2 linked regions of the Styela clava genome follow. The protein of the gene in region 1 interacts with the protein of each later gene in a pairwise test. Links are inferred from orthologs where the notes say so. Each region holds a gene or a part of one and is shown on either strand. Other genes may lie near its edges.

Region 1 (6,850 bases):
AATTTTTATGACGCCCAAATTTTATTTTTATTAATTTTTTAATTCGAACTTTTGCGCGTGCAAATACTGACTCAGAATTTCATAAAATTGATGCAAATGTCAATGTGAAGTTATTAAAATTATTCAAGCATGAAAATCGAGCAAACACATCAAACAAATCAAAATAGGAATAAAATTATTAGAATATTCGAAAAATCAAGAATGATTTCGTAACACTAATGACGTCATACCTTCAAGTACGTCATCCAAAGCACGGAGACAACGAAGAAAAGAAGCTGAAGGAAAGGAGTGAAAGATGAATAAAGATAAGAATCAAAACTAGGTCAAAACTATAGTTGATGAGTCGGGAATTGGCTAGATATATTGCAACATCCTTGACATACGCATACCGACCCACCAGCGGAAAAGCAAAAAAAGATCAGTAGTTTGCCCCATAGTTGAAACTCAATTGATAGAATATGTTACTGCTGTCAAGAGACTTCTGTATCCGTCAACGGATCCTACCGATTCAACAAATATTACACTTAGAATAATTCTAAGCTTCATGTTGGTATTTATTTCAATAGCTTTTAATAAATACCAAGAACGAGAATTTTTCCGGTTATAACCGCAACATAACACGATTTTAACGCGACAATTTATTCATGAAAGGCTTCAAAATTTCCGTAAAATCCATCTTTATTGATTCGAAATTTTGGTTTTGTACGAGAATGTGCGGTTCTTCATAAGTCTAATCTTGTTAGATTGAGAAGACGACCGTGAACAACCACATTGTTACGTCACTTCAGATCTTTTCATTAGACCTGTGATGAAACAATTACAAGCTAACGCCTCCCGAGGAAGTTATGGATTGGCAATCAACAGAGCGTGAAAACATGGCAATCATCCGTGTAATTTAAGATCCCGGCAAATAAAATGAATAAAACATAATTAATGAGATCAACCGAGCGAGAAATACAATTTCTCAGAATGTTGAGTAGAAGAAATCGGATAAACGACACTCTTACAATGATGATACAATATGACATTGAGTATGTTAATGGCGTTTTACGCAGGCTTTCGAGATGGCTACTGTCGTACGGTTTTCCAAAATTCGAAAGTTTGATCCAAACGAGATAAATATATTAAATTTAGACAAAAAGACTTTTTAACGCTACATAGCATCGACCGTGTTTGTATAATTTTAGGCGTGCTTACGCTGTCGTTATGTGGGAGTCATATTATCCCAAGATGAACCGAACACATTCTAATATGATGTCGAATAGTTTAATCATATGGGGAACCATAAGCACGACTATGGTATTATTCGGATGTTAGTAATACTCCTACTTTTTAAAAATCAGACACTAAAAGACTCGGCGGTTACATGGTGGTTTGCGTGTTCGGCTTAGCAAGTGGATGGCCAAGATTAAAGCTTCAATGTCAAAGAGCGCACTACCACAACCAGAGTTTGACAAGATATGGCGGACCAAAACATTCTGTCCCATAACATAATAGGGTACTCCCTTAGTGTGTGAACCAGGTTAGGGTTAGGGCTGGTAATTTCAGGGAAAACACTTTAACCGTTAACCGGATAAAATTAAACGGTTAATGCAGTGTGAGTTAAATTCTACTGTGAGATATATATATATATATAAAAAACGGCATTAACTACGCTCTTGTTGGTAGACATTGAATATGCGATTTTAAAATAAAATCGTGAACAAAATATTTGAACGAAAAACTGATTCTTAATTATTGCCAAATTTTCATAATCAGCAATCTTGGTACTTTTATTACAGTTATTTTTCACATTTATTGGGTCTTTACCAATAACGTCAGTAATATTCTTTTGAATGAAACGCCACAGGAGATAAATTTGCGATGACGTAATCCTTTTTGAAAGAATTATACATTATTATTATTATATCGTTGTCGAAATTTCTACAAAGCCAAATAGATGAAGTAACGTCTAAAAGTTACCTGGACTAGATCCTTCTGATTCAGTGCTTCGATATCGGTTCGAAACTCCGCTATCCATTGAAGGAAACTTCCCGTTGACCTTTAATCTTTGATCACTTGACCCTGAACTTCCGCTTCCGTAACTTACACCATCCGTGCGTATGCGAAGCATAGGAATACTTTCTGGCTCACCATTGGGTTTTTGGGTTTTGTTCGCTTTTTGAACTTGTTTTGAGGCTCTGTAAGCATGGAAGAATAAAATATAAGTGTTTCTATATTAATAAAGAAGGAACAGAAATCCGATAAAACGGCTTATTTATATGACAAATGAAGTCTTCTCGCTCGGTTTTCAGACCAGACCAAGTCTGGGAATATGACCTACCCGGTTTAACGTTGCTGTTGTCTTAGGATAATATTATTATCAAGACTAAAATGGGTACTCCCGTAGTATTGAACCAAGATGGCGGACACCGAAACGTAGTATATGTACCAGATTAGGCTATATTTTCAGATACAAATACTACAGGAGTCACTTGGCTAGTCCCGAACTCGTAATAAAACCAAATTAAGAATAATTGGAATGAAATTATTGGCCTAACCCTAACATACTACGTCCGGCGCCCGCCATCTTAGTTCGCATACTACAGGAGTACCCTAAAATGTCCCTTGAATTAGATAATTAGCCGCAGATTTATACCGAATTTATAAAATTGTATTATACCAGAATTTTTATTGGCATGTTAATTTTTCAAAATTATTTGATAATTCGGTTCGTGCGAATTCGTAAAACATATTTTACGAGCGTCTGTACTTTTGAAAATCCGTCTTCTGAAAGTTTGAGAACTGCGGGAAAATTTTATACCGAATGTCGTTTTCCTTCCAATAATTCAGTGTTTTTAGCAAATCTATCTTTGAGCAAACTAATCAACCACCTACCTGGGTTTCACGGCCGGTGTTTCCAGGCTTGCTATGGTCGAAGCAGATAGTTGTGACGTCATATATTCTATTTGATGACGTCACTAGTTACGTAGCAACAGTGATTCCATAAAATTTATTCGGACGTAAATACCACTTAGATTATAAATAAATATTCTGCAAACAAAATTTCATTCATATATTAGCAATAAAGCGATGGTTTGGGTTATTTTTGCAATTTGTTCTTGTAAATGGTTGCAAGACATAGATTTAACGAGAACAATGACAAATAACTATGATATACTGATCAGTGATTCAACTATTCTTCTTTTATGCTTTTGCACTGGTGGATCCGTACAATGCGAGGATAGTGTAGCAAAAGTATAAAGACAACTAACTGACATATCCTATTCACAAACACTTTCGGCTAGAAGTACTGTATGTATTAGACTCACTGCTTCATCTACTGACACAGCTGACATGGGCAAACTACAACCCGCGGGTCAAATCCAGCACCTTGGGTGGTTCGATCTGGCCTGCCTGATGTTGTCATAAATTATCGCTTTTAACCAATTATTGTTATTGAAATCTGTATGGTGCAATAGGCTTGCCAGAATATTGTCCAAAAACCTTGCCCACCCATGCTCTACAGCAGGGGTCGGCAACCTTTTGTTGCTTGCGGGCCAAAATTGAAGGTTGCAAGTCATTGGCGGGCCGCACATATCTTTAGAAAATTGTGAACCGAACTGATGATACTTTTTATAATAAAAATCAAGCAGTGATACATCTCTCGAGAAAATATAAATTCGTTTCATTGCATCTCAAAAAGTTCCATTTGAATATTTTCGGCGCCATTGCTCCCTTCGCACTTAGCATCAATTTTTGTTTGTCATTTGTCTAATCATAATTAAATTTTAGGCTCATGAAACGAGTAATTGTGAATTATATACTTGTTAGATTATAATATAATTTAGTCTACACGTGTCTCACAATAAATTCTGTTACGTATAAAATGGCTTCATCAAAACAGCTGTTTTGTTACTAATATTCAGTGAAACGTCACGGGCCGGATTATATTACTCCGCGGGCAGGATCTGGCCCGCTGGCCGTAGGTTGCCGACCCCTGCTCTACAGTCTACTCTACAGGGCGTAATAAACGAACCAGTTAGTAAGCCACAGAAAATCCGAAAAACACATTAAAAACGTGAACAGTGAAAATAGGTTTCAATTTTAATATGTTTCGCACAATTGATACTGAAAATATGACTAATAGGTATTGAGAACCACGTCGGATATATTCCCTGAGGTTTCAATTCGAAGTCGTCCGTAAAATGTTAATTTATTTACTGTTATAGAATCCGCATTTGGAACGGAATTGTTAATTTATTTACCTGTTTAAAAGTTTTTATATTTGAAAAGGAAAATGTAACGCAGATTTGAATTTGTCGGGTTTGAGCTGGAATTTAAAATTATGAAATGATCAAGGTCAGACTTCCTCAGACAAACAGTTTACAACGATGGAAAAAAATCAACTCATCCTATCAAGACATCGATTGTCATACGATGCTTTTCACTCCAAACAAGGCCATGTACAAGCAGACGCAATATGTGAATTATTACTACTTTTGAAAAGGACTGGATGTTGCAGCACCGTTTGTCAAACAGTTGAAACTTGGCATGTAGCGGGGGGCAGTTACCAAACTAACACAGAAAATTTTTCAGAACGATCAGGCCATAGGAAATGGGCCAAAACGGGCTTTTAAGGGACTGGGACCTGTCATTGGCTAATCAAGCTGTCAGTCAGTCACGCTAGAGTGATTTTGGGGTTCAGAGGCCGTTTAGCTTGGGGTTTTGGGCAAAGATTTGCGTAATTCTCAAAGGTATAATTAAATGAAATTTTCTTTACTAGAAAATCGGTGTTTCCCCCTCCCAATCGACCTCCAGTGGCGTAAAAAGGTTGCGCTCTTAAAATGGAGCTATTGAGAAATAAAATAAGTTAACTATGGTTGGAAAAATTAGTTTAACATTTTTTTGAATAAAATTTTTTTTTCCTACTCCGCAGTCACGCTTTAGTGATTTTGGCTCATTGCAGGCCTCTGAAGGAACTTATTAAGAAAGTAAAGACATGGGCATGTTTAGAAAAATTATTCGAATCCATTTTAAAAGAATTTTTTTTTCTTCAGCTCCTCAGTCACGCTCCAGTGATTTTACGTTATATCTCGAGAATGGTAAAAGGGTGAGATGTCATATTTGGGCCATACAAGATAGTTGAGGTCTAGTTTATGTAAAAAAAATTCGTCACGGTTGAGTGATCACGGACCTTAAAATTGGAAGAATTCGACTCCGGTTAGGGGTGATCAGTTTATTACGTGGTATCTGAACTTCTTAATGGACTAGAGGGGTCGGAGGCAGAGCGCCGGACGAATTCCCGTCAATTGTCCGGCGCAACGACCCGTGCCCTCCAACAAACTTTAAACAAACATCTGCTTCCTAATTTACTAAAAATAATTCTATACAATTTCCCCTCGCGGGTAGCGTAGCGACCTCCCCTGGATTTGTCTATTAGATCCCACTACGACAACATCGCTCAGTCTATTTTCTAAGTCGTCGTTTATGCCGACCTATTTGAGGGGTTAAATAAAATATTTATCATATCTTATGATTCGGCTTTGATTTACCGACTTTTCCTTGAAAACTTTCCTTTTTAGGCTTCAATATCCAGACGCGACGATTAGATACTAAAGTAAAAAATCCATCGACTGCCTGTCATTTCAATTTCTTTTTTTAAACTCTTCGACATTGCTCTAAAGCTAGTCTCTCCTACTACTTCTAGCATGAACTCAATCAGCGTGCTCATGCCCCTTTTCTTCAAATATAGCTGTTTATTTACTTCAAATAATACATGATATTCATGAAAAATTCACACGTAAATAAAAATTGCTCTAGCCATAGCTTGCAGATAGTTAGCGTATTGAACCATACGATGTTTTAGTCGACGTATTTACCTCGAATTGTTTGGCATTGACTCTAAAATTAGCGTCTTGTGGACTGATATGAACGCAGTCAATTGTTTACTTTGAAAAATACAGGAATTTAATAAAAATTCACAAGTAAATGAAAATTATGCTTTTGCCAGTTTGAACAAGCTCTGGTTGACAGACAACGAATAGTTAGCGTGTTGAACGTAATTAAAAAAATCTCTGAAAATCTGTGGTCCAAATGCCACCACATAACACGATATAGAATAAATAAGGAAGACTTTGGAGTAGAAGGGAAATGCGAGCCCTTATAAGAAACGTAAGTAGGTCGGTCCGTGTGCACATTGATTAAGATTTTCCATTTGAAACTATTAAACAAAATGATAAAAAAAAGAAACTGAAAGAACATTGTCGTTTTAAAACTAGTACTAGTGTAGATACGCTATAAGCCATACCTGTTATATGTACGACAGGCCATTCTCGTAGTAGGCCATTCACATGCCGATAGGGATCATATATCTATACCTTATCAGCTGTCTATATGAATGCCAAATATGAATATGAATGCTGAAGAGCCCCCTCGAATTGCCTCTGCGACCATATATCCATCGGTATTCCTAACATGCTATCTATATGTCAGCCCAATAGCCCTCTGCAATGCAGGCCATTCAAATGTCGAATGACGTCATATATCCTTCCCTATTCCCAACCATGGTTGCTGGTGCGGTAGTTCGCATGCATCATTAGCTGATAATACCCGTTCGTGCCGTAAACGTAAAACCACGCGACCAATTGTGCAAGTGACAGTGACTTTCTATCAACTTGAGATTTTTACCAGTGTGCGTCATTCCTTGTTTTAGGCTTTCGTTAAATGGCCGAATAAATAATTCAAGCAAATGTTTTAAAGTCACTTAGAGGTTTCGAGACAAATTTAGCCTTTACTACACTGTTATAAAATAAAGAAAATTAAAGAACATTTCGTGGTATTTTATAACGCCTTCAGGCGGTTTCGGGTC
Region 2 (7,478 bases), about 16 Mb from region 1:
CCGTAGGGATTTCAATTATCAACCGTCACCATCGGGATTTTGACATATTTTTATTTTGGAAGCTTGCATCATTGGAGAAACAGTCAACAGTCGGTAATAGCCTCATTGGTAATAACTGTGTGATAACAAATAGAGCTATGAAGATATCTGGCGAAGATGCACAATATTTCGCTTAGAAAGATTCGAGTCAGAAGTTTTGAAACGGTGCAAGAAAACTTGAAGCTATTCTTCGCCTCGCTCATTCGTTTTTCTTTATATATCGGCAATAAATGTTTGTGCTATTTCCAGTAAGAGGCCCCTAAAAATCGGTCGTTAGGGTAATCTCTTTATGTTTAAAATATTGATCTTCCAAGCGTTCAAGATTCACGTTATTTCAGAGTTCGTTTATTGTGATGTATACAGTTAATTTACAGTTTATACGAGAGTTTACTTTACATTACCATAATAATTAGAATGTGAGAGGCAGTTTTTATGAGCTTAACGCATAATTAAATAGTTGAGCGGAATAAATTTAATTGTTCGGAACTGTTTGATGAAAATACTCAGCTTCCTATTATGGTCGTTGAGTTACAAATTAACAGTGTTTTTTCAATATGAAACCATGGAAAATCAATTTATTAGTGCAGTATGACCCTATAGATAGGGCTATGTATGAATAGGCGAGGCCCATTCTTGCTTCCGTCTTAGATAACATGAAGAACGCTATCGATGTACATCGCGGCCTACTTTGGACGTTTGAAATCTCTGTGAACTAATATGAACTCTTTTCTGTCAATGTTTTTCCTAATTAAATTCTACCCCACAGAGACTTGTGAATTCCGCTTAATTAAATCGCATTTGTTTTACGTTCATTAATCACAATCGGTAGTTGGTATTGCTCGCTGTTGGGGTAATTGTTTAGTAATGCATTTCTGATCACTGTTATCCATCAGCTCGAATTGACAATTAATAGTACAAGTATGTCGTTAATATTCTTTTTTAAATTATTTGTTTTACTGCCAGTAATTTGTGAAAACCAAATAACATAATATTCTGCAGGCAGCCCGATCAGATTTGAATGGAGCTCATTTCTTTAATATGTAATGTTGCAAATTCTTAGCATGACAATTTTTCCAAATAAATATATAATATATATATATACGGTGACCGTACATTTGAACCCACGTACATTTGAACCCATGTGTATATCCGCGGGTTCAATCTATATGCGGATGCGAAAACCCATGGGTTAGTGTTAGTATGGGTTCAAATATTCGTAAAACAAAAACAAAAAATTCCATAGGTGCAATAGTATGCAGGTGCAATTGTCGTGAATTCAAATGTATGTGGGTTCAAATGTAATGGAACCATATATACACTATTCATTCTGAAACCAAAAAAAAAGCTATATACAGACCGAACTAATTTTGAATGATCTCGAATGTTCAATCTATGTTTGCATGAAAAGAGACGGATTTAAATAAAATTTGATAAGTTTTTTCTCCGCCGCACATAGCAAAATTGTCTGCAATGGCAAGCAATTTTTGATGTCCCGTTGTTCATGCTATTTTTTTTTTGTATATTATTCATTTTTATTCATTTTTTGCTCAGTGTATAACATAATTTGTATTTTTACACGTGTACGTCTCGAAATATTAGTTTTGATACGCTACTCATCAGCAGGTATTTTAGTTGACTTGTCTTCGTTATTACACTCGCATCCGGTTTGAAACATTATGAGAAAGATCAGTGTATAAACAAGGTCCTATATCTTGAAACATAATAATACTGAAATTATATTTACTATACGTTCTTTCGCAAAGTTTCTATGGTCTTTAGGGATTTCTCAGCACATGCGCCGCGCTCACGCCTTCGCTAAATGCGTCCGTAGTGGGATATGATGACGCAAATAACATCGCAGAATTAATCCCTGATAAGATTCCGCCGGTAGAATACATTATACTCTGGAATTTAAAACTCTACGATTACAAATTGTACATTCTGAAGGTGCGAAAAAACACCACATCCTATTAAAAGCACCAATGACGTCGTGTAGATTTTACCGGAGAGCGATCCGGCTGGCCCAGCTTTTTTTCTTCGATTGATTATATTGCAATTGAACAGTTTCAGCCATTGTGATTTGTCAGCTAACGCTCTTGAGTGGAAGTGGAAACAATTGTTCAGTGCTAAAACTAGTCCAATGATTATTTTGAAGTGGCGAAAACACTGAGAATTTTGTAATGTACTATAGCGTGATTCTATCTTAAATTCTGTAATTAATTGAATATAAAATCGACGATAATGTTGATCACATTTTCCGATTACTGGATAAAAAAGTGTGCCCATAATGTACATAAAATACTTATTTCCAATTGGCTTATTGATGAATAACGTGATATATGTCGAGTCTATACAATCATTTATTATTGAATTACTTTTGGAATATGATTTCTAAGTCAAAGAAAAGAATTTTATAACTACAAAAGTACATATGTTTAATAGGTTTGGACAAATTTGAATCTGTGGATTCTAAATAGATTTTACAATCACGCTCTGCTTAATTCTCATATTGACGATAGTAGATTGAAGTAATCTTCTTTTAGAAAGATATTTCTTAAACAACATAGAAAGACTACAGATGTTGAAATACTATGGAAAAGCAAAATAGCATCCACTTAACCCATTCACATTTATGATTTCTATTTATAAATGCAGATTCTAATTTGCCCCATTGAATATCAATTTTAATCGACGTATATTAATCGTTTGTCGTGGGTATATTACAAACTTGACTTAATCTACCCTTTACAAATGAGAGAGATTACTTAGTTTAATTTAATTCTCATCATTAAATGAATTTAAATTTTACTTGTTTTAATATTAGGAAATACATTATTTTTCCGATTTTGAAGGATTGGTCTACAAATATGACTTCTAGAAATGTATGATCTGCTTAATGTATGATGTAAGGCTCGTTAATGAATATTAAGTGATTATTTCTTCAAGGCTCAGAAATAAACTGAAAACGATAATCTAATTTGTAGCTGTCTGCCTGAATGAAGGAGTATCTTTTTCTAGAACAGTCTACGCATTATGATCTTATATGGCAATGACCACATCCCAATATTTCTACGTAAGTGAACATGGAGATATCCGCCGATGCAGAACCGCCCGTTTCTGGCATCCCTGGAAGCATGGGCGAGACATAATACCTTTACGGGGAGTATTTATTACTAAGATGCATGATTTGAAATATGTTATTTTGAGGTGTAGCCAACCATGTGCAAGAGCTTTGTGTCGCCTGTGTATAGGTTAGGAACTTGGACTATTGCATTGGCTATGTGCTGTTCAAGTATACTTGAGGAAAGTTCGGTTAATCAAAGTAGATTCAAATAAGTTATAGTTCTGTTGTTCAAATAAATTATCATGATATTGTATTTGATAAAAATCCAACGAATTTTTGTTCAAATATTAAATTCATCTCGACGGGAAAAATGAACATAAAATATGATATTGCCCAGCGGGGGAAGGAACTTGATGCTATACTTTCGATATCGCTATTGATGCTAAACCTTCGATGTTATATCTCGATGAACTTGATGCTATTCGACATCGCTAATATACAAATATCTTCATTTGTTTTTCTCAGGCGGCATATATTCACTAGCTTTCTAATAATATTTTTATGTTTATTGTGTGTGAGCTCTTAATAACTGGTATCGCTTTTAGTCAAAGTCATGTTGACTGTTTCCTATAGGAAAGGTGATAAGAAGTGCGAAAACAAAATGCAATTTCACAATTCCAGTTTTCACGTTCCGTTTAAAATTCGGCAAGCGCACGTGTCCCTAGTCTGGTCACGTTGGTCTGATAGGCTAATTCAAGTTAATCCAAAAAGGGGAGGAGGACAGTAGAACATTTAAAATTTTGTTTTGTGCTTGTTGGCGGTGGAGGGCGTTTACGTTTGTAGACGTCATATCAGATGACGTCATTGTTTTGATAGGCAATTTGCCCATAACTGTTTTATCATCGCATTTCGAATTATTTTGATAAAAATTCTGAAATAGAATTTTATATCTATACACGAAGATGAATTTACGAATACAATTGAGTGGATTACCTAGCTCACTTTTCCCAAATTTACCTAAAATAATAATCATATCCCTCAAAACTTCTAACGACAATCTATTTCATCGATCTTCGTGATTCAAATTTATAATATTGTGATAAAAAGTGCAAAAAAGAAATTTTTATTTACTTTATACCCTGCCGAATATTTCTCGTGTATAGTATACACTGACGGGTGATGAGAAATTGCAAATATATAATTGAAAAGCACTTTCAGATGCTTCGTAACGACCTGAAGGTCATTCCAATTACGTGTGAAGTGGTAGCAAGAAACGTATTCATTTCCGCCCAAGCGACTAAACGCTATATAAAATGCTTCTAAACCCAACATTTTCATATATTATAGGAATGTGTAAGTTAGCTAGATTGTTGTTATAACTGACATATCATCTCAACAACTGGAAAACAGAGACGACAAGCCTCCGATATTTATTTGATCTGAACTAAAGCAAAGAAACGACTTGTTCGCGACTCCACTCGAATTTTAGCGGAATTCACTCAACTCGTGCAAGCACACGCAATCAAACGCTATAAAACCATTGATTGTGCACTGAACCGTAGATTTTTTCGTTTATATATATAGCTAACAAAAGGCGCGATGAATAGCATTGGTGAAGTCAGTTCAGGCGGAGAGTTCTACGACGACGAAGAGATGCCGGCTACCGAAAGGGAACTGGCGGAAGATGCTCCTTGGAAGCAAATCCAGAAGAATACTTTTACCAGGTGGTGTAACGAGCATCTAAAATGTGTTAACAAGCGTTTGGGAAGCTTGGAGACGGATTTATCCGATGGTTTGAGGCTGATTAGCCTCCTGGAAGTACTATCCCAGAAAAGAATGGATAAGTACAACAAGAGGCCTAATTTCAGGCAAATGAAGCTGGAAAACGTTTCCGTGGCGTTGAAATTTTTGGAAAGAGAGAGAATCAAGCTTGTTAGCATTGGTAAGCATTTTTTTAAACAATTTAACGACTCAAAAAGCCGTATTACAGTATTATGAAAATTAGTAGCATTTTTATTACAGTAACATAATACTTCACACCATGTTCTGGCGTGGTGATGTATTTGCGCCTCACCGAGTATTCCCAAAACCTGTATGATTGTGTAACTGGGCTGCCGAGGAGTCTCAAATAATTTTGCGTCCCATGCAATGAAAATATAGCAAACGTAATGCTTCATTGCGTCTGTTAACGCTCACCATAACAGAAACAACAATTAAACCAATTGCACTAAGGCCTTGCGGAAATGATTTGTCACTAGTCTGTTAGGCGAGAAGGCCTTTACACATCTCTGATATAAAATTTACAAAACAACACGTATTTCACTCAGAATGCAAGTCAACACTACTAGGAAACGACTGCCAAGTTTTATGCAAACGATGGAACCACATCAATATTGTCAGCGTAGCGTATGTTTGGCTCAGGTTGGGCGGCATTTAAAAATCACTGGGGCTCTGAATGCGAACATTATTCGTACTTTATTTTGTTAAAAAAATCACGTCAGGTTACAAATTTGGGCGTTGAAGTTCATAGCCGGAGGCGCCGGTCACAATTTATTATTAGCGGCATGCGCACTCGTTCAATCATTCTAGCCATAGAAATACCGATACATTACCGCTAACAGAGGGGAATAAAATGAGACTGGTTTGGCCAATGATACACCTACCGTTCAAAAGTACTGAGCAAATCATTTTTAAGTATGCTTAGATTCTATAAAAACATATCAGTGCAGTATTTAAATGCTGGTAAACAATATGACAACGCTCTGCACGCTCGTTTTTGCGCTTGAAATCCATGTGATATGAAGCCTATCTTATTTTAATACTGGTTCTCGCTGTTGTTGTTGTAATTGAAATTTTCGTATAAGCTCCATTTAATGGCGACAATGCATACAAGATCATTAATTCGTTTGTCGTCTGTTTTCTTCGCTCGAAGACACATTGGCATTGCTCACGTCTTGCGCTGTGCGTAATAAAGTATAATGCATCACCTCAGCCCATTGATCATGTCATAAAATTGTATTTCATTCTGAAACTCTTAAAACGAACTCTTAAACGAACTCAATCGTAAACATCGTGAATAATGTCTGACTAACGGAATTTCATTTATTGCCTATTTACAGCGCTCGATTGGCTACGAAGGTGCGTTCATTTTCGGTCCATGCGTGAGTTTGTGAGAATAAAAACCCAGCCATTCTTTACAACGCAAAGCCAAATTGGATTGATATCCTCAGCTGGTGGTCAATTACGCTTCCAAGAATGTTGATTTGTGATTGTTATTAGATTTGAATCAAGCTGCGCGCACACTGTATAGTTCCCATACATTGTAGATCATTCTTTTAAATTGCCGGCGACAGTAGGATAAAAACTTTGATATGCACGTAAACATACGGATAAGATTTTTGTTTTCGAGCATAAATTCACGCAGACTGGTAATTTGTACATGATTAAGCGTAAAATGATATCTGACATTGAAAACAATTATAATATTTTAATCTAAATGTCATGTTTTACCGTTTAATACTATGTCATTTAGACCGGCTTATATAAACATAAAGCCATAATAAGCCGCTTGGGTTTAAGTATCAAGCTAAGGGCGATTGTGACAACTATCGAGTAGACAATGGCTTGAATATCGATTGTAGTATTGTACAAAATGAGCTAATCTTACTACGGCTTCTCGTTCTGTATATATGTTGACATTCAGTTTTGTTGGATTTTTTAAGTTTTGCTTTCACTTTTCCTTGTCGAGTACTATGGCTTTGCTGATGCAAACTTTACCCTTTTACTCTTGCCTACTGATCCATATAAAAGTATACATGACTTGACACACGAGGAGATGTTTTTAGCTTTTGATCTAAAGTCGAATACTTTTTTATTTACTATTATCGATGCGTACGATGTAAAAGTGTGGTAGAAATAGTCGCAGATTAAATTACCGAAAGATCTTTAATTTGTGGATTGGTTGATTTATTGCATCACTGGTTCTTCAGTGCATGGTCGGGCTTAATGCGTGGTATTCCGATTTGGAAGGCATGCGGAAGTTAACGCTTACGCCCTCGTGAAAACATTGCCATCACATCTTCTTTGGTCAGATATAAGTTGCTATAAATCAAACTTGTGTTATTTCCTTTCCGTTCTTAATCTGGAATAATTCAGTTTTGAACTTTCTACAAAAATAACGTCATATGAAATGACAACAAACGGACAGTAGATACACGTTGCAATGCAGGCATAAGATTACATCATGGCTCGATTTGAACCGAATACTCGCTGTCAAAATGTGCATATTGTTAAAGAATACTTTCCCCTGAATATTGCCGGTGACATTTCATTGTAACCTCATCATGTTTTAACTTGGCCATGCTTGATGACTGCA

Evidence for each region.
Region 2: the proteins of teneurin-3-like (region 1) and filamin-C-like interact in binary tests that used the Drosophila melanogaster proteins (3 or more experiments, as listed by UniProt). The link is inferred for Styela clava from reciprocal best matches to the Drosophila melanogaster genes Ten-m and cher.

What each region holds. Positions count from the first base shown.
Region 1 is NC_135263.1:226,480-233,329, forward strand, and holds the start of teneurin-3-like, read right to left. Parts: upstream 3,025-6,850; 5' UTR 2,940-3,024; coding exon 2,878-2,939; intron 2,181-2,877; coding exon 1,963-2,180; intron 276-1,962; coding exon 231-275; intron 1-230. UniProt on the Drosophila melanogaster protein: Involved in neural development, regulating the establishment of proper connectivity within the nervous system. Acts as a homophilic and heterophilic synaptic cell adhesion molecule that drives synapse assembly.
Region 2 is NC_135263.1:16,706,116-16,713,593, reverse strand, and holds the start of filamin-C-like, read left to right. Parts: upstream 1-4,453; 5' UTR 4,454-4,702; coding exon 4,703-5,045; intron 5,046-7,478. UniProt on the Drosophila melanogaster protein: Involved in the germline ring canal formation. May tether actin microfilament within the ovarian ring canal to the cell membrane. Contributes to actin microfilaments organization.